Linked DNA regions of Oreochromis niloticus. The protein of the gene in region 1 interacts with the protein of each later gene in a biochemical or structural test. Links are inferred from orthologs where the notes say so. Each region holds a gene or a part of one and is shown on either strand. Other genes may lie near its edges.

Evidence for each region.
Region 2: the proteins of pdzd2 (region 1) and plakophilin-4 form a complex in vitro, tested with the Homo sapiens proteins (2 studies listed by BioGRID and IntAct, with this or other methods). The link is inferred for Oreochromis niloticus from reciprocal best matches to the Homo sapiens genes PDZD2 and PKP4.

Annotation. Positions count from the first base shown.
Region 1 is NC_031977.2:405,801-415,066, forward strand, and holds the start of pdzd2 (PDZ domain-containing protein 2), read right to left. Parts: upstream 4,038-9,266; 5' UTR 3,733-4,037; intron 1-3,732.
Region 2 is NC_031987.2:14,967,381-14,977,036, forward strand, and holds the start of plakophilin-4, read left to right. Parts: upstream 1-5,815; 5' UTR 5,816-6,026; intron 6,027-6,716; exon of another isoform or gene 6,717-6,738; intron 6,739-9,656. Other genes in the region: coiled-coil domain-containing protein 148, read right to left, coding at 3,199-3,320, 3,730-3,784. UniProt on the Homo sapiens protein: Plays a role as a regulator of Rho activity during cytokinesis. May play a role in junctional plaques.

The DNA.
Region 1 (9,266 bases):
GTGGTGTATAGAGCCAAAAATGTTAGAATTGTCTTGGTGTCCCAATATTTATGGACCTGACTGTAACTTTAATGCACATAAAAAACAGCTGCTTGTTTAAGTGAAAATACATTGATGGGGTTTGTTGCACTAATAAAGTTGTGAAGTTGTAAAGTATTTTGTCTAGTGTCAATTATATCGTCAGTTATATCGTTATCGCAAATTTTCAAATGTATATCGTGATACATATTTTTGATCACATCGCCCTGCTCTACTCACGCCAACAATAATAAGAACAAAATAATATTAGTGCAAACTGTTTCTTGACTTTGTGTCACACCTAAGCAGAAAATGTAGCACATTTAGTGCATTAGTACAACATTAGTTGTAGTGAATCAACAACAATCATTCCTGCTGTGAACCTTCGTCCTGCTCTAACCTGCAGTGTTTTCATGCACCCTGTAAATAACATACAGTTTGTACACACTTCAGGTTCATATGACATTTTGCATCATATACTGATCCAGTATATAATATATTACAGGTCGCTCGCATGTAAGCTTTATATTTCAGATTGCATTGAACAGCCCTCACCTTCAAGCCAAACCTCCTGTCTTTCTCCTTTCAAAAACACTTCTGGATTGTTCTGGCCTACTTTAACTCTTAGTACAGCGCTACAAATGATGCATAAATTATATGTTTTTGCATCTTTTTGATGGCACGCAATGATGTGAAATAAAAACCTGCCTCAAACCAAAAGTAACAAACTTGTTCTGATAATCTAATGTAGAACTGATACTGGAGTCTTTATGCTGATCTGCTGATTAATGCTCTCTCTGCTACTGCTAAATGGTGTTTTCTATATATCCACAGACCGCACATGTCCACAGACAGCACATGACCACAGACAGCACATGTCCACAGACAGCACATGTCCACAGACAGCACATGACCACAGACAGCACATGTCCACAGACAGCACATGACCACAGACCGCACATGTCCACAGACAGCACATGTCCACAGACAGCACATGTCCACAGACAGCACATGTCCACAGACCGCACATGACCACAGACCGCACATGTCCACAGACCGCACATGTCCACAGACCGCACATGACCACAGACAGCACATGTCCACAGACAGCACATGACCACAGACAGCACATGACCACAGACCGCACATGTCCACAGACCGCACATGACCACAGACCGCACATGTCCACAGACAGCACATGACCACAGACCGCACATGACCACAGACCGCACATGTCCACAGACAGCACATGACCACAGACAGCACATGACCACAGACCGCACATGTCCACAGACCGCACATGACCACAGACCGCACATGTCCACAGACAGCACATGACCACAGACCGCACATGACCACAGACCGCACATGTCCACAGACCGCACATGTCCACAGACAGCACATGACCACAGACCGCACATGTCCACAGACCGCACATGTCCACAGAGAGCACATGACCACAGACCGCACATGACCACAGACCGCACATGACCACAGACCGCACATGTCCACAGACCGCACATGACCACAGACCGCACATGTCCACAGACAGCACATGACCACAGACCGCACATGTCCACAGACAGCACATGTCCACAGACAGCACATGACCACAGACCGCACATGACCACAGACCGCACATGACCACAGACCGCACATGTCCACAGACAGCACATGACCACAGACCGCACATGTCCACAGACAGCACATGACCACAGACCGCACATGACCACAGACCGCACATGTCCACAGACAGCACATGTCCACAGACAGCACATGACCACAGACCGCACATGTCCACAGACCGCACATGACCACAGACCGCACATGACCACAGACAGCACATGACCACAGACCGCACATGTCCACAGACCGCACATGTCCACAGACAGCACATGTCCACAGACAGCACATGACCACAGACAGCACATGACCACAGACCGCACATGTCCACAGACCGCACATGACCACAGACCGCACATGTCCACAGACAGCACATGTCCACAGACAGCACATGACCACAGACAGCACATGTCCACAGACAGCACATGACCACAGACAGCACATGTCCACAGACCGCACATGACCACAGACAGCACATGTCCACAGACAGCACATGTCCACAGACAGCACATGTCCACAGACAGCACATGACCACAGACAGCACATGTCCACAGACAGCACATATCCACAGCATGCATACACAGTTTCTTGGTAAATCTCGGTGTCCCTCCTTGGCCCGGTTCCTTCTTATCTGTGTGTAAAAACCAGGTCCAGTCTAGCCCACACTCTCCCAACATTACACAAATGTTTGTCCCCTGAGTCAGAACACAATTAAAAAACAACAACATTTAAATATACTGTCTGTGTTTCTGGAATAATCCACAGAATAAACTGAAACGGTCAGAAATAGTTACAATGTGGGACTTTAGTTGTATTTATATGAGCGAGAGAAAAGCTCCTCTGGTTAGTGTGACTGCTGTTGCATACTATTCCTGTGTCTGTGTGGAATACTGCATTTGTTATATTGTCTTTATGTGCTGCCCTCTTGGAAACTTTGATCTGGATAAATAAAGGTTAACAATAAAAATAACAGAAAATTTTATGTACAGTTACAAGTACTTGTATTTTGTTACTTTCGACCTCTGTTACGACGCAGTTCAACTTCAATTCACAGCAACTACAGCTGCCTCGAGGCGTTTTACATACAGATGCACACAAAGCCACTCTAATTTGGAACGTGGGAAAAACATCCATAATATCTAAAACTGCAGTATTAGTACCAGGACCAGGTATTTCAGATTATTTGTTTAGTTTTTTCCAGTGAAGCCCACGATGTGTCCTCTCATACATCAGTGACACATCAGAGACATGTGACATGTAGCAGTGAAATACGTTTGGATGGTTTCGTATACAACATGTTCATAATCATACTGTACATATTTCACATGCTCTGCTCAGCTAAGTATTACTTGTGTGGTTCGTGAGGGTGGTAGGCTGTGAATGTTGGATGGCAGTCTCTCCACTGAAAAGAAATCACATTACTTCTTAATGAGGTCATTTTAAAACTGGAGCCAAAAGAGCTTGAAAGCAACAGTGAATGGAGCTGAGAGAGCAGAGTTCCTGAGCACGCTCTCTATGAGCACTTTAAGGAATCACTCGGTGTGTCTGACAGACTGACGGTCAGTAAACACATCAAAGAGACATTCACGCTTTTTGCTTTTAAATTATAAGTTCAAGAAGAAGAAAAACAACACCACACACACACACACACACACAGACACACACACACACACACACACACACGGTGTTGTTGTTGAGGTTATAGTTTAACCTTCTGCTGTTATCTACATGTATCTACTACTACCAACAATAATAATAATATTTATGCATTAACACAAAACTTTTTCTAATGAAAATGTTGCTGGTCAGATTGGTTAGTTATGGTTGATAGTTAGAATTTGAAAGTCTTCAATAAAGTGACTTATTTAGTTCGCAGCTGTCCGTATAATGCGTAATAAAGTGAAGCGCTCAGACGGTCCGGAGCTGTGCAGCCAGTCACGATACTGCTGATGCTCGCTGTTTTCCAGCGTGTCCCTATTCTGTGAAAGCGACAAACTCGCAAAGGCTCAGTCACTGCTGTGTTACCGTCCACGTCTCTAAACGTGTACTCACGGTGTGAGTCAGTGCAAAGATAACGCAGAGCTACAGTACCTGTGGGCTACACTGTGTTCCTCCGAGGCTTCCACTTCCAGCTCCAACGATCCTCCGTGTTTTGAGCGGGTTTTTTCTTCTTTTCTTTTTTAAAGAGAGATGAAAGACCCGCTTCACGGAGCGCCTGTGTGCAGGAATAAAGTGGCGCAAAGCTTCCTGAAGAAAAGCGGCTCCAAACTTCAGAAGTCCCGATATCTTCTCCGGGAACACTGAGGCAAAAAACACAGAGACAAAGTCAAACTTCAGCCTGCTGAGCCAGTCACGGATGGTTTGGGCTCGGGCTGAACTGTCACTCGGCTGCTCCACTCCCCACTGCACACGGAGGGTGGAGTCACGTCCAGATTTGTTGAGGTGGTTCTTTTGCGCCCAGCTCCTCCCCCCGTGGTCTCCCCACTACGTGTTGTGATGTGTTGGCCATCACATCACGTGATCACTCTATAGTATTAATAATAATACTATGGTCTGTCAAACTGCGCTCTCCCAACTTGAACTTGTTACAACATGAGGCAGCAATTAGCAAATGTTAGTATGCTGTTCGGTGTTTCCACTTTCTTTACCTTTAGAGCCGGGATAGTTTGGTAAATGCTGCCTCTGGCTGTCTCCAAGTTCAAATGAAACCAGCCGTACTGTATACGTTACTGCGCTTATTCATCTTGGCTGCTATGATGCCCCACTCATGGACATCTCTCTAACATTGTAACCTTTGTTTTTCACCCCGTTTAGTGCACTGGTGGACCTGGGCTTTCAATATTCTGCTCAAACAGCACACTCTCACATATATATTTAACATACAACCATGTTAAAAATCATTGGGATTTTGGGGAATTAAGGCGATAGGTGGCCTGTGTTGCATCTCAAATGTTACATTTCATGTCAGTACAATTAGAAAAAAGACCTGAAAACATACGACTTGTTGGAAGGGTTGCCAGGCGAAAGCCTCTTCTCTCTAAAGTCAGTGTGGTAGCACAGCTTAGCTTTGCAAAGCTGCAAAATGAACAACAAAACACAACAATATCCTTCAGATAGACGATACCAAAGTGAAGACGTCTGGCAGAGTGCAGAGGACCACTTTTAAATATCAGCACAAACTGTGAAGCACAGTGGTGGAGGTGTGGTGATTTGGGCACCTTTCAATCACTGAGTGAAGCATGAACTGTGGACCATCTGTCAAATGTGAGTCCATCTGTCTGACAGTTAAAGCTTGGCTCTAATTGGGTCATGTAACAGGACAATGATCCCAAGCACAGCTGAAAAGAAAAGAGTCAAGCTGCTGTCGTACTCTGAGGCTAAGATTTCAGTGGTCAAACGGAGTCATCCAAAGCATGCAGCACCATATTAATGACTAGCCTCGTGTTGAGGATTGTCTCAGGCGTTATCTTGAATGGTCCGATTCACGTTTTGTTTTCCGTGTGACTGCAATCATCCATTCAGGGACCCTCACATTTACTTTCATTATTATTAGTTACCATTATTCCTCCGTCTTCATTACACCATGTTAGCACCACCAGGTAGCACACCATTATATGTCAGCTAGCCAGACTTCACTAACCCTTCAAACACTCTGTCTTTATTTATGTCTGAAGTGATAGCAGAGCTGTTTTAGTCTGTGATGTCTGAACATGGTATATCCTCTTCAGATGGAAACTAGCGAGCTAACTTCCTGCCAATTTCTAAGTCAGTTACAATATACCTGTTTTTCATTGATGACCTCAGGTTAGGTTTGTGTACTATGTTTGAGGTAACTTCTTTAAATATGCAATCATTTTTTAAATGGATTTATTTCTTGTTGCCCAGCAGTTGTAGCAAGCAGAATCCTAATCTGAAGGCTTTGTTGTGCCAAACCCATTGCTTTCCCAAGAGGAGCACCTCAGACTCTCTGCAGGCTCCTTTTGTGAATGTTCCTGTTTAATCTTATTATTCATATTACTATCTGTGTGGATGCTGGAGCAGATGGGGGTGAAGGCTAGATTGGAGCCAGACAGGAGAAGAAAGCAGAGGAACAAAAAAAGAAACAGGACAGAAAGACAAAATAAAGCAGGTACGCAAACAAATATGTGAGTGAGAGACAGAGAGAGTGAGAGACAGTATGTGAGTGTCTGCTTTATGAGTGTTTGTTAGTAAATATACTTGAAAAATGAGGGTGAAAGACTGCAGCTGTTCATCTGGATGAAGAGTTTTCAGTGGGAGAAACGTTTCATCACTCATCCAGGTGACTCTTCACTCTCAGCTGACTGCAGGTTTCCCCAACAGTACATTTGGTTATTGACTGAAACTAGCACCACTGATGAACAATGGACTGGGAGGTCAGTACCAGGGCCACTGATATGCCAGACCCACACAGAGGATGTGGACAAGGGGGTGAAAAGACAGCACATTCAAGAATTCACAGAGAGTTGGGGAATGGCTGCAATCACAGCATTGTAAGATGGTGACAGATGGACCCTTAGGCCCCCTCCTCCATTCACAGATGGTCTTTCCCTTTTCACGTAAATGGCCTCCTTGACTCCGCCCTCAAACCAGCGTTCCTCCCTGTCCAGGATGTGTACATCCTCATCGTTGAAAGAGTGTCCACTGGCCTGTAGGTGTAAATAGACTGCAGAGTCCTGGCCTGATGAGGTGGCTCTGCTGTGTTGTGCCATCCGCTTCGCTAGAGGTTGTTTGGTTTCCCCGATGTATAAATCCTGGCAATCCTCCTGGCACTTAACAGCGTACACTATGTTACTCTGTTTGTGTCGGGGGACCCGATCCTTGGGGTGGACCAGTTTTTGGCGCAGCGTGTTTTGGGGTTTGAAAGCCACAGAGACCCGGTGTTTAGAAAAAATGCGTCTCAACTGTTCCGATACTCCTGACACATATGGGATCACTACAGGTTTTCACTTAGGCAGCGGTTGTCCTTCTCTCCTGGATCGGCTGGAGCTTTCTTTAGGTGCCTTCCCAGCTTTGACAAAAGTCCAGCTGGGATAACCACATTTACTCAGGGCCTTCTTGATGTGATGTTCTTCTGCCTCCCTGGCCGCTGTGTCTGTGGGGATGGTGTTCGCTCTGTGTTGTAGCGTCCTGATGACACCCAGTTTATGCTCCAGTGGATAGATAGATAGATAGATAGATAGATAGATAGATAGATAGATAGATAGATAGATAGATAGATAGAATTTCATTGCTTACAAATCCATATCAAGGATTCAACATTATTTGATCAGATATATTTAACTATTTACAAGTCTAACAAACTGAACATACACAAATAAAACCATTTTCAGCACGTAAACCACAACAACAACAAACTACATGTTTACATAAACTAAGCACCCTGTGTTTAACACCCGCTTAATCTCTGATCTTATTTGATATCTATTAATGAACACTTAAGCCTGGGTTACTCTGGCCTTGATCTATAAAAATGAGGAGACAATGAGACGACTCAGTCACTGAGAGGAAGATTTCCTATATTCATTGCGATTTATTATTTTTGAACAGGCGTGTGAGATTTTGTATTGATGTACTTTTCTTGATCTCACCTGTACAGGTGTTCCACACACTAACTCCTCTGACTGTAATGCTGTGATAGTTTACATTTGTCCTTACTACTGGCTTGCTGAACATAAGGATTTCTCTCAGGTCAGGAGTATTTGGTCTTATTTGGAACAAGTTCTGAATGTTGTGGGGCAAAGATTTCTTTGCTGCTTTGTACATTGTTTGCACAGTTCTGAGGTCGACCAAATCTTTAAATTTGAGAATATTTAATTTGATAAAAAGTGGATTTGATGGTTCTCTTGAAGTAGTTTTATTTATTATCCTTATTGCTCTTTTTTGCAGAATGTATATTGGATGGGTGTGTGTTTTATACATGTTTCCCCACACTTCCACACAGTATGTCATGTAAGGCAGTATAATAGAACAATAGAGAGTATATAATGACATTGGATGAGAGTCAAACCTTAAATACTGATCCATATGTGTAGGTTTACGGTACACATCAGCTTTTAGATGTCCCCCATTAGTGAAGGAAATCTCACAGTCTATGAAGGCTAACCTGCCACTTTTCATATCCTCCCTGGTGAATTTGATGTGTCGGTCCGTCGAGTTAATGTGATCCGTGAAATGTGGTACGTCCTGAGATTTGATTTTCACCCAGGTGTCATCCACATATCTGAACCAATGGCTTGGTGGTGTTCCAGGGTAGGATAGCAACGCCCTCTTTTCCACTTCTTCCATGTACAAATTGGCCATGATGGCTGAAACTGGGGAGCCCATGGCACACCCATGTTTCTGCCTGCCTGACCCTTGTATGTGAAGTAGGTGGAATTAAGACACAGTTCAAACGCACTTGGTGGATGCTGAGAGTGGTCCTGTTGCTGAGGTTGGGGTCATCCTGTAACCTCTTACGAACTACCTCCAATGCTTCCGTGACTGGGATGCAAGTGAAGAGAGATGTAACGTCGTACGAGACCATGGTTTCATCTGCCTCCATAATAACATCTCTCACCTTCTCAACCAAATCCAAGGTGTTCTGGATGTGGTGTTCAGAGCTGCCCACCAGCGGGTTGAGGATCGAAGCCAGAAACTTAGAGATGTTATAGGTGACCGAGTTGATCATACAGACTTAAAGGAGGTCTTAAAGGTGCATCCTGTTTATGTTTCTTTGGTTAACTTATTTATCTACATATATATATATAATATAATGGTTTATACCTTGTGTTGGGGGGGGGGGGGGGGGGGGGGGTGTTTCTGTCTTGTTTTTATGGACATGAAGTCTGCCAATAAAGATTGAATTGAATTGAAATTGAATTGAGTTAACTATACAGACTTCCCCTGGGTGTAACTTGTGTTCTGAGGTCTGGTCAGTAAAGTCAACTGCTTAAGACAATCTATCACCCTTTTCCTGTAACCACTACCTGGGTCTTGTTTCAAGGGTTCATATTTTAGTATTTTATAGTATTTTTGTTACTGAGCCAAAATGTCTCATGATAGTCTGTGTGGTTTAGCAACACCAACACCTGCTGTAGTCTGCTGGATGGTGTTGTTGTTGTCCTTACTAAGCGCTGTAAGTACCTTCCTCTCCTCCATGCTGATATTGGATGCTGGGGGCTTTGCTTTGCTGAGACAGGTTAACATTTTCATCCACAGTTGCTCTGCTTTCACATCTGCAGTGTTGTTGTTTCGAATTTCTGACTCTGTGGCTGTGATCAGTTACACAATCTCAGCATCATAGCAAAGTTCAACCCTTTTGCAAGGAGTTTTTTCTCTGCTTGAGTGAGTTGTTGACAGTTTTTCTCTCTCACATGTCCATATCCTCCATGTGACATATCAGTGACCTTATGGCCAATAGTTAGTCAGTGTTCCTACTTTAGGTCATTTTACAAATGTCCTGTTAATAAGGTTGGAAACCTGCAGTCAGCTGAGACTGATGAAGTCACCTGGATGATGACGAAACGTTTCTCCCACTGAAAACAGATGAACAGAATCAACTTTCTGGGATTTCCTTACCCGGATGATTGAGCATGCTGAAGGCATACCTCCATCGAAGTTTTCTT
Region 2 (9,656 bases), on another chromosome or scaffold:
TAAAGTTTTTCTCACACCACATTGTACATTTTTATGTATTTAACAACATTTCTTTCATTTCTTTCTTAACCCACACCAATCTTAATTTCATGCCTTTTGAATATTTCCTGTCGTTCACATTCTTACACTATTAAACAAAATGTATGGCATTTTAAAGATTGCTGACATAACACTTCCTGGCTTCCAGACAGAAAATGTAAAAAATGTATAAAATATTCAAAGGTCTGCCTGGATTACGTGCCACCTTGCAAGACCCATACGAAATACCTGGATAAAAAAATTGAAAATGCTTCTTTGCGATTCGGAAGACCATAATACCATCAGAAAACCAACTCTGTACTTGACCTAGAATATTCTGTGTAAATCCATGGCTCACCCTTCATACTCTCAGGTTTTATACATTTCTCACTTTTCCATAGACCTTTCTACAATAGGCTCCTTGACTTGTCATAGAAGAAAAAGCATTGATGTTACTAATAAAGACAATTTTCTTCCAACTCTGGTTCATTCTTTCTCTACTTTCTGGGAAATAAACATGCAGCAGTTCTTCGGGTTCAATGAGAAGTTGCACTACTTCAAGAAAAAAATGAGGCCATTTTCAATCTGAACGTAGCAACACATTTCTAAAAAGTTGGGCCAGAGCCATGTTTAGCGATGTGTAGCATCTCCTCTTTGTGTAACAACAATCTGTAAACATCTGAGGAGACCAGCTGCTGGACTTCTGGGAGAGGAATGTTGTTCCATTCTTGTCTGACGTAGGATTCTTGCTGCACAACTTTGTCATATTTTTCATTTAATGATGTGCCAAATGATTTTAATTGGTGAAAGTTCTGGACTGCAGACAGGCCTGCTCAGCACCCCGACTCTTCTACTACGAAGTAATGCTCTTGTAATAGATGCTGGATTGATGTATCCCATATCATCAGGAACTGAGAGCTGATAGGAAGCTGGATGATCCCTCTCTTTAGTCCAGGATGAAGGATTTTTTTGGAAAAGCATTTCATATTTAGATTTGTCTGACCACAGAACAGTTTAACACTTGATTCAGTCCATTTTAAATAAGCTTTAAGCCAGAGAAGCCGGTGCCCTGTCTGAATCATGTTACATATGGCTTCTTCTGTGCATCATAGAGTTTTAACGTGTCTTTGTGGATGACATGCTGAACTGCATTAACAGGCAGTGATTTCTGGAAGTATTTCTTTGCCCATGCAGTGATTTCCATGGTAGAATCATGCCCGTTTTTAATGCAGTGCTGCATGTCACAGGCATCCAGTATTAATCTTCAACCTAGTCACTTGTGTACAGAGATTTCTTCACATCCTCTGAATCTTTTGGTGATACTATGTACTGTAGATGACAAGCTGTTTAAAATCTTTGCAATTTTATGGAATTTTTCCACAATTAGTAGACACAATTTTTTTCCAGATTGGTGAACCTTAACCTATCTTTACGTCTGAGAGACTTTGCCTCTCTAAGATCTCTTTTTATACTCTCTGACCTGTTACTGACCCGTTGCCAAGTAACCTAATATTTTTCATGAAATACTAAAATGTCATATTTTCTATCTTCTGTTATTAAAAAATATAGTTTTATGTGATTTGTAAATCATTCCATTCTGTTTTTATTTATATTTTACACAGCGTCTCAAATTCTCTATAATAGGGTTTGTATATTCAGCTCGTAGACATCCACGTGAACAATGTAAAAATAGTTGTATGAGTACATTTAATTTCCTTTCATACGTAATGAGTAAAAAGTCATCTTTTTCTTTTTGAAGGTTTTAAACTTAAACCACATGTATTTACAAGCCATGTCTCGTTCTTTTTTCAGCTCCTCCCTTCAGGTGTTGCCACCCTATCCTCTGCATCACACCAATTATCTGCATGTCCTTTCTCACTACATCCACTAACCTTCGTTTTAGTCTTCCTTTTCTCCTTTAGCTTAGCAGTTAATATTAAACATCTTTTTCCTAATACATGCACTATCACTCTTCTACCCATGGCCAAACCATCTCAACCTTGCCTCTTTTACTTTGTCTCCAAATCAGCTCCATCCTGAGCAGGCCCTCTGATATACCCTTTCCTTATGCATTTTTTCATTCTTTATTGCTCTTTTTAATACATTTTGAAATACAAATCATCTCTGAAATGTCATACATGAGTAAAGGATCAATAATTTTGCAATCACACACAGGGGATTCTCCCACAATATTGGAGACATGGTATATTTCAGTTATGCATTTTCTTATAATAAAGTCAATGTCTTTCAGCAAAAACACATAAACATTAATATAGGTGAATCAGTAGGGAAAATGTAGCAATATTATGCCCATTTGTTGGATGTCTACCTGTAATCAAAACAGTATTGAAAAAAATATGTTTCCCACTCCTTTTTTCAGTGTTTACATACACACATATCTGTATATTGGGTAACACAGTGCACAGAGTGTAGTATAGAGCTACCAAGTGTTTACTGTCTACTAATGCTGCCAGTCCATTTATAGAAAGCAAAAATGATCCCATGCTTGAGGCTACTCATGGTAATTTATTTACCCCTATCACATCACCAATATGAGATGTTCAAAAAGCCTGCTTTTTCAGGAGGGCCAATATGAACATAGCCTCTCTTATCTAGGTTATCCAGAGCGCAGGGTTGGAAGAAGCCATGGGCTACCACGATGATGCTAGAAGGCTTCTGACACAATTTACTAATTAAAACAACACAGGTCTAATCTCCAGTGCCCCTAGCATTAACTTTTTGATCAGCTCAGAATCATATGACTATGAACTTCAAACAGTGTGGTGGGAAAACCCACAGGAAGCCAAATGAATATTCACAGAAATGCCATTCTGTATGGCAGTGATATTACTGCTCTCTTTCATGTTGTTGGACAAACTACAAGAATTATGCAATGTCTATTTTATGCTAAATGAAATCCTTTTACAGCGTGTGGCATATATGAAAGAGTGGAAAAAGGTAAACACACACACACACACGCACACAGATATTGCACTTTTTACTACTACTGAGGACATGCTGTTTAGTTAACACTTCCTTTGATGTATAATGAGTGGTTTTATTGCACATACTCCTTTATTTGCTGCTGAATCAACGTGTTATTAAATGCAACAGGACTTTATTTTAGGAAAACACAGCTTTTTTATTAGCACAGGGATGACAGTGCAAACAAAAGGTTACCTTTTGTCCAATTAGATCAGTCTCCTCGCGTTTGGCATCAACAATCGCTAGTAGTCTTTTATATTCTGCCGGCTTGTACTTTGAGCTGCCAAGACCATTTTTCATTCGCACTGTCAGTTTTTCTGCATGGATGAAAACAGATGATATGGATGAATTAGGATCACTGGAATTCTTGAAAATCTCATCACTTTTAATGTCTGAAGTAAAGACTTTATGCTGACTTCAGCAAAAAAAGGTTAGACAGAGGAGCAACACCAGTTAAGCTCTAATGGATTGTATGCGTAATAAAGAAATGATTGCACAGGAGGAGGGGGATAGCAGAGACAAACTGTGTCAGACGTTTTTTTTCAGTGCTTCGGCTTGACTCAAGGAAGCAGGTGGATAAACACAAGCTGTGCCTGTGACAAAAACAACAGACTTGAAAGGCACCTGGAGAATTCGACATGAGGGCTTCAGGTCAAACCGGTTCAACAGTTGAGTAGACCACTATGTCAGAAGCCAGAATATTCCAGCCATTTTTCACTCACTTACCAACATCTTCTGCTTTAATGCTTGTTATGAATGTTTGTAGATCCTTTCCACTCATCACTATTGAGCTTTATCTTCATGCACCAGAGTACCTTCAAAATAAAGACATTAATTATTGCGCTGCACACACATGCACAGCTTTGTTGCCTACAAAAAAAGTTTGGTGTGACATTGTTTAAAATGCTAGTTAACATCAACAAGTTTTAGTGTACTGGAGCCAGTGTGTGTGTGATATACTGCTGGAATGTTTTTTTTTTCCTTTTTGCCTTTGTTTTGGATTAAGCTTGGAAAGATTTTCGCACAGGATTCCTCTCCTTTCAAATGCATGGTGTGTGAAGAGATGGGATGAACTATGCAGGAATTAATTTTTCTATGATTGGAGGGAAAACAGATGCGCTGTTCTGAATCCTTGTCTATTTTTTGCCCATGTCTCCATTACATATAGACTTAAATACCGATTTTAAGGACAGCAAAATTATTACTTTTTCCATTTCAACACCAAATGGCAAGCCAAGGTTAGGATTCAAGACATAGGTCATTCTAGAAATGTCAATTTTTCTGTCCCTGGCTTTTACTACACTTAAAAACCACTTTATTTACAATTTATTTCTATGTTAAATTTGAATAATTTTTCCTTCCTCATTCTTTAATTTCACAATATTACAATTAGAATAGGCACCACCACCGCGTTTGTCCCCACAGTCGAGTATGGTGGGTAAAGGCTGTGTTTTTTTTGTTATATTTAAAATGCATCAAATCAATCAGATATGTTAAAAATATGATGACTGTGACACAATGAAGCAAAATGTGAAATAAATATTATAAGATATATAAAGAAAGTCATGGTCCCTTAAAACTGTGTCACTGGTGTTATGAGAAAAGTTTATTATTTTGAAACAAAACATCCCAATAATGACATCACTTGACTTACTTTCACAGATTTCCTGAAGCACTATAAAGAAATGGTCATGATGAGACCAGTGTCTCTTTTCATTTATCAGATTTTTTTCTGTTTTATCTCGTAATTTCATAATAAGCTTTTAGTTGAAGTCACTAATACAAAACAGTTAGGAAATTGTTAAAAAAAACAAAACCCAAAACAACAGAATATAAATGGATTAAATGACATAATCTGGTGAGTACAAGATGACTGACATCATGTGGTTTGATGCTTGCAGCATCTATTTTGTAAAAAGCATTTTCCATGAAAACTGTCACTGCTGTTACCTTCCTTATGGGTAACACTAGACCTCCGAGATAATAATTTTACATCCACTGAAATTCGGTACAGGTACAGGTTAAGATATAAAGAATGGCATTGTCACTCATTTTAAGTGTTCTTTATATGCTTTCATTTGATTTTATTGCTAATAAATGACTTTGCAAATATCATACATTGACGCTTTGAACAAACGCTTTGAAATAATAAAATATTATCTTATGATTTTTGCATCACATAGCATTATTCTAAATAATAATTAATAGAAGCCCCCAAAATTTGCATAAGGAGTAAGATAACACCAGTGGCGAAAAGGTGGCACATGGGTTAAATGTACAAAAGAAATATTTTTAAAAAATCATTAGGTTGTCATTTTTTTGCTGTTAAAACTATGGACATACAACTAGCCTAAAATATTTTCCAAGCCAAGCTCTGTTAATTTACTTTACCGATTTTTACCAATTATTATAGTCCTTAATTAAACTAGAAAACACTTAACTTTATCATTGTCACAGCTGCTACTGCTATAGTTTAGCGACAGTACTTGTGTAGAACCTATGCTCAACCTTACAAAAAAAAACCAAAACCAAGTGAACCAAAGGTTTCCTACAAGACCAAGCTCAAACTATACCTACAATAAAGTTACACACAACAATTAGCGATTATTTGCGTTGTAAACTAAGTATTTATACCCGACGAGCCACCTAGCTTACCTTGTTCTCTCCCTTCTACAGTGTATGGGTTGACAAAACAGGTAACCAAGGTAACTATCATCTTCTCAGTCATTGGTTAATTTAACAACGCGTACCTCTTCAGGAACGCCCCCGTATTCGCTTTGAAACCAATCAGGAGTGCACATCGGTTTCCCACATTCCCGCTGACGTCATGCACGCTCGCATTGCCTGGGACTGCTGTTGGAAGCGAGGAGCAGCCGAGGGGTCGTCTTCTTCACTCGAGTGTGGACGCGAGTTTCATTCTTCCACATGCATGGGACTAAAAGGCAGGACTTTACAGATGAAGTTACACATTCCAATGTAGATCCAAGCCGCAGCTCAGCCAGCGCAACTACAATCCTCCCAAGGTATGGAAATGTTTCTCTTTTCTTTTCTTTGCAAACTGCTAAATAATTGGAGTGAATACGCAGGGAGAAACGAGAGCATCTGTGCGCAGAGCAGGCAGGAGGGTATGGGCTGCTTACTTGAAGTCGGAAAGTGAAAAGAGAGTGGTTGCTTTTTTTCTTTCTCTTTTTTCCGTCTGTGCATGCGGCATAAGACAAGCTTCTTTTGGCTTCCTCTCAGCGGGGAAGAATCTAATACTACCCTAATCTGTTTCTTGTGACCGAATCATCGCAAACAACGCACACCTTTGAGGGACCTTCACGCGCTGTTTTTGATGCCATGCCTAACCGTGGGGGTGAAAACTTGGCCGGCTAATGTAAATGCACGGAAACTGCTCCGGGGTTAGTTTTCCTCTTGTAGAAAAACTCACTTTACTGTGGCAATGCCCTTGAAAACGTGTTGCTAAGTAGTGCAGGAAAAGGCAGGTGAGCTTAGAGTGTGGGAATCTCTGGAATGCGAGGTCGCCCAGGGGCGTAGATCCAAACTCTGCTCCTATTAGATTGGCTTACCTTTTACCCTCAGGTTGAACTAGCTAGGTTCAAACTACGCCATATTTAATGACTCTATTTTGCATTTTAAGAGGGTCGTTTCCTTTTTAACGGTAACCGTGACTCTACGTTGTCATCGTTTTGCACCGTGCAAGAACAACCTACCTTTGTGGCAGGGGTAGACTGAAACAGTAATTCAGACCGGGGATTTGAGTCCTTTCCAGGCCACCTTGTTCATGCGAACCTCACCAAACTGCTGTCTTTGAAGGCTTTTTACTGGTTACAAACTGAGTGCTTGCTCTTCAGAGTATCATATGGGCAGTGGTAGAAGGAATACTCAGGTACTGTTACAAATGTGCCTCTACTGCAAAGTGTATCTTTAGGTGTTACAAAAACACTTTAAAGTGCAAAGTGTTCTTGTCAAAAACAACTCTTTGTATTAGTTTTTAACGGCTTATATTTGTCTTCTTTATCAGTAGCATTAATTCATAGGGGAAAAACCATGTAGGAAAACCACCATATTCACAACAGTCTCATAAAATCACAATGTCAGTGAAACAAATGACTCGGGATATAATTTATAATTAAGATGACAAAATGAAAAATAAAAAATTGGCAGCGATCAAATATAATCGTAATTATATAAGCTCTAGGTTTCTATTTCCAAAGAAATCACATCATGAAGTGATTACTTTGTTATTAAAAAGGAAATCTGTAGCCAATACTATACAAGCATAACAGACACAAGCATCAAGTATAAACACTTAAGAAGTGCATGAGAATATATAAGCTACAGGTGTGTGTGTGTGTGTGTCTGTCTGTCTGTCTGTACACAAAATGAAAAAAGGAGAGGGAAACCAGTGAGTGCAGACCCACAGAGGTGGGGGTGAAACCGTGTAGGTGTAAATGTAAGCAGACAAAAGGTTTTAGAGTTGAAGGCGGGAAACTCTGGATTCCCAGAATCTTTAAAATGAAGCTTTTGTCCCAATTCACCAAGGTCAAAATACTCAAGCTGGGATGTGCCACACATTAGTAAAAAGAGAAATGAGTGATTCTAATGTGAAACGGCAAATAGTGGCTGCACTAAGAAATGATAAGGATTATAGAGAGTCTGTGAAGAAGATGAATAGTAAAGGGAAAAAAAGAAAAAACATTTACTTTTATATGTATATTTTTTATTTTTTATTGTTCTTAATTGTCATAGCTTGCTTTTAAAAGTACCTGCGTCCACAGTCCAAAACATGGACATTAGGTTAATGGGAGGTTCTAAATTGCCTGTCTCTGTGTGTTAGCCCTGTGATGGACTGGTGACCTGTCCGTGGTCTACCCCACTTCTCAACCTACGACAGCTGGCATTGGCTCCAGCTCTCCCCCCAGCTCTGAATTGCACAAGTGGTTAAAATGTACCCTCACAGATGACTTGTGGAAGTAGTTGTAATTCACTAGCACCATCACTGGCTATGGGTGTAGAATTAAAACTTACCAGAGCAGTTTTCTCACATGGCAGGTAGGGCTGGGCGATATGACCCAAAATTCATATCTCGATATTTTTTAGCTGGATGGCGATATAAGATATATATCTCGATATTTTTTTAAAGCCATAAAGTAAGAACAAAAAGAGAGTTCTTAGTCAAAGCTGTGTCCCAGATGTCACACAGGCACTTTTATTAACATACAGCATAGATGTACATGAAAAAAACTACTCAAAAATAAATTATGAGCATTTATTAAATAATAATGCTCCATAAATAAACCAAAACAATGTTGTTTTTGTGCATAACAAAAAGCTCACAATTGTGCAGTCAGAATGTAAACTAAAAGACGCTGAGCATAATAACATAGACAGATTTCACAGCTGCTCTGTTCCCAACTTCTGCTGCGTAACTGACAGCCTGGAGTTTGAAATCAGCTGCATAACCACGTCTCTTAACAGGTGCCATTTATGGTCCTTATACACACACAATACGGTAATATTACCTTGAAGCACAGTACGTATTACTCCGCGAGGCTCCTTGGTAGCCGTAATGCTCCGACAATCCATCAAGAGGTGCAGCTCCGTAGCTTACCAAAGTCGTACCAAAACATTTTTTGACAGATTGCTGAGCGCTGTGTATCACATAAAATCGGTTCGGTCATCAAGCACAACCAGAATTCATACAAAAGGCGCGCTGTCAACTTTTGAGAGAATGAAAGGATTTTAGGCTGTGCAGCCCCTCTGGGCTGCATGGCGTTAGCGTGGTTAGCTCGTTAACACGTTGACGCCATCCAGCCCCACGCACGGGGCGATGCGCAGTAACTCGTTAACGGAGATTTGCCGTGTCCATCTTGTCGCTGCCTGCAGGTGAAGCGATGGGGGAGGAGGGGGAGTTGTGTTCAGTGAAGGAGAGGCGAGGTCGAGTAACGTTGCGTAAAGACAAAAGTGGACGAAAGAGAGGCAAACTTGTGGCTCCACAACTATAATTATAATGTAACACAGACTATATCAATATAAAGGATATTGTCACATCTTATATCTCGTATAAAAATATATCGATATTTTTTAAAAACTCGATATATCGCCCAGCCCTAATGGCAGGGAACCTGAACGTTTTGCCTGGGGACATCAATCCCAAAGCAAAATGTAGGGTTAGCTAAATGTTGACATGATTATCTTTATTAATAGCCAGTCACTCACAAGTCAAGCTAAATGCACTAAAATTGGCAGTTACCTTAGATGATGCCTTTGTTCATCTAAACTGTTGGATTCCTTACCACAGTAATCGACTTTTCCCCCACTTTGATATCAGCTGCACCACAAACCATCTCAGATTTTAATAGCAGAATTTGATTTGTGCCGAAGCCATGAATGAATGTAATTTGATGGTGGACACCTGTGCTATTGCTTGAGAAACCTCACCACAAGCAAACCAAAGCAACAACTTCACAATGCAATTCTGCAGCAAGGTCACCAACTGCTCATTCACTGTGAGTGGAATAGGAAATATTGTAACAACAAATACTCGTGTTTTGTATCCGTAGTGGTGTGTGTGTTGACAAGTGAGTATAATATTGGCCTCTTATGTGAATGCGTTACTTATTTCACAGCATTTAGCTTCTTCCAGGACA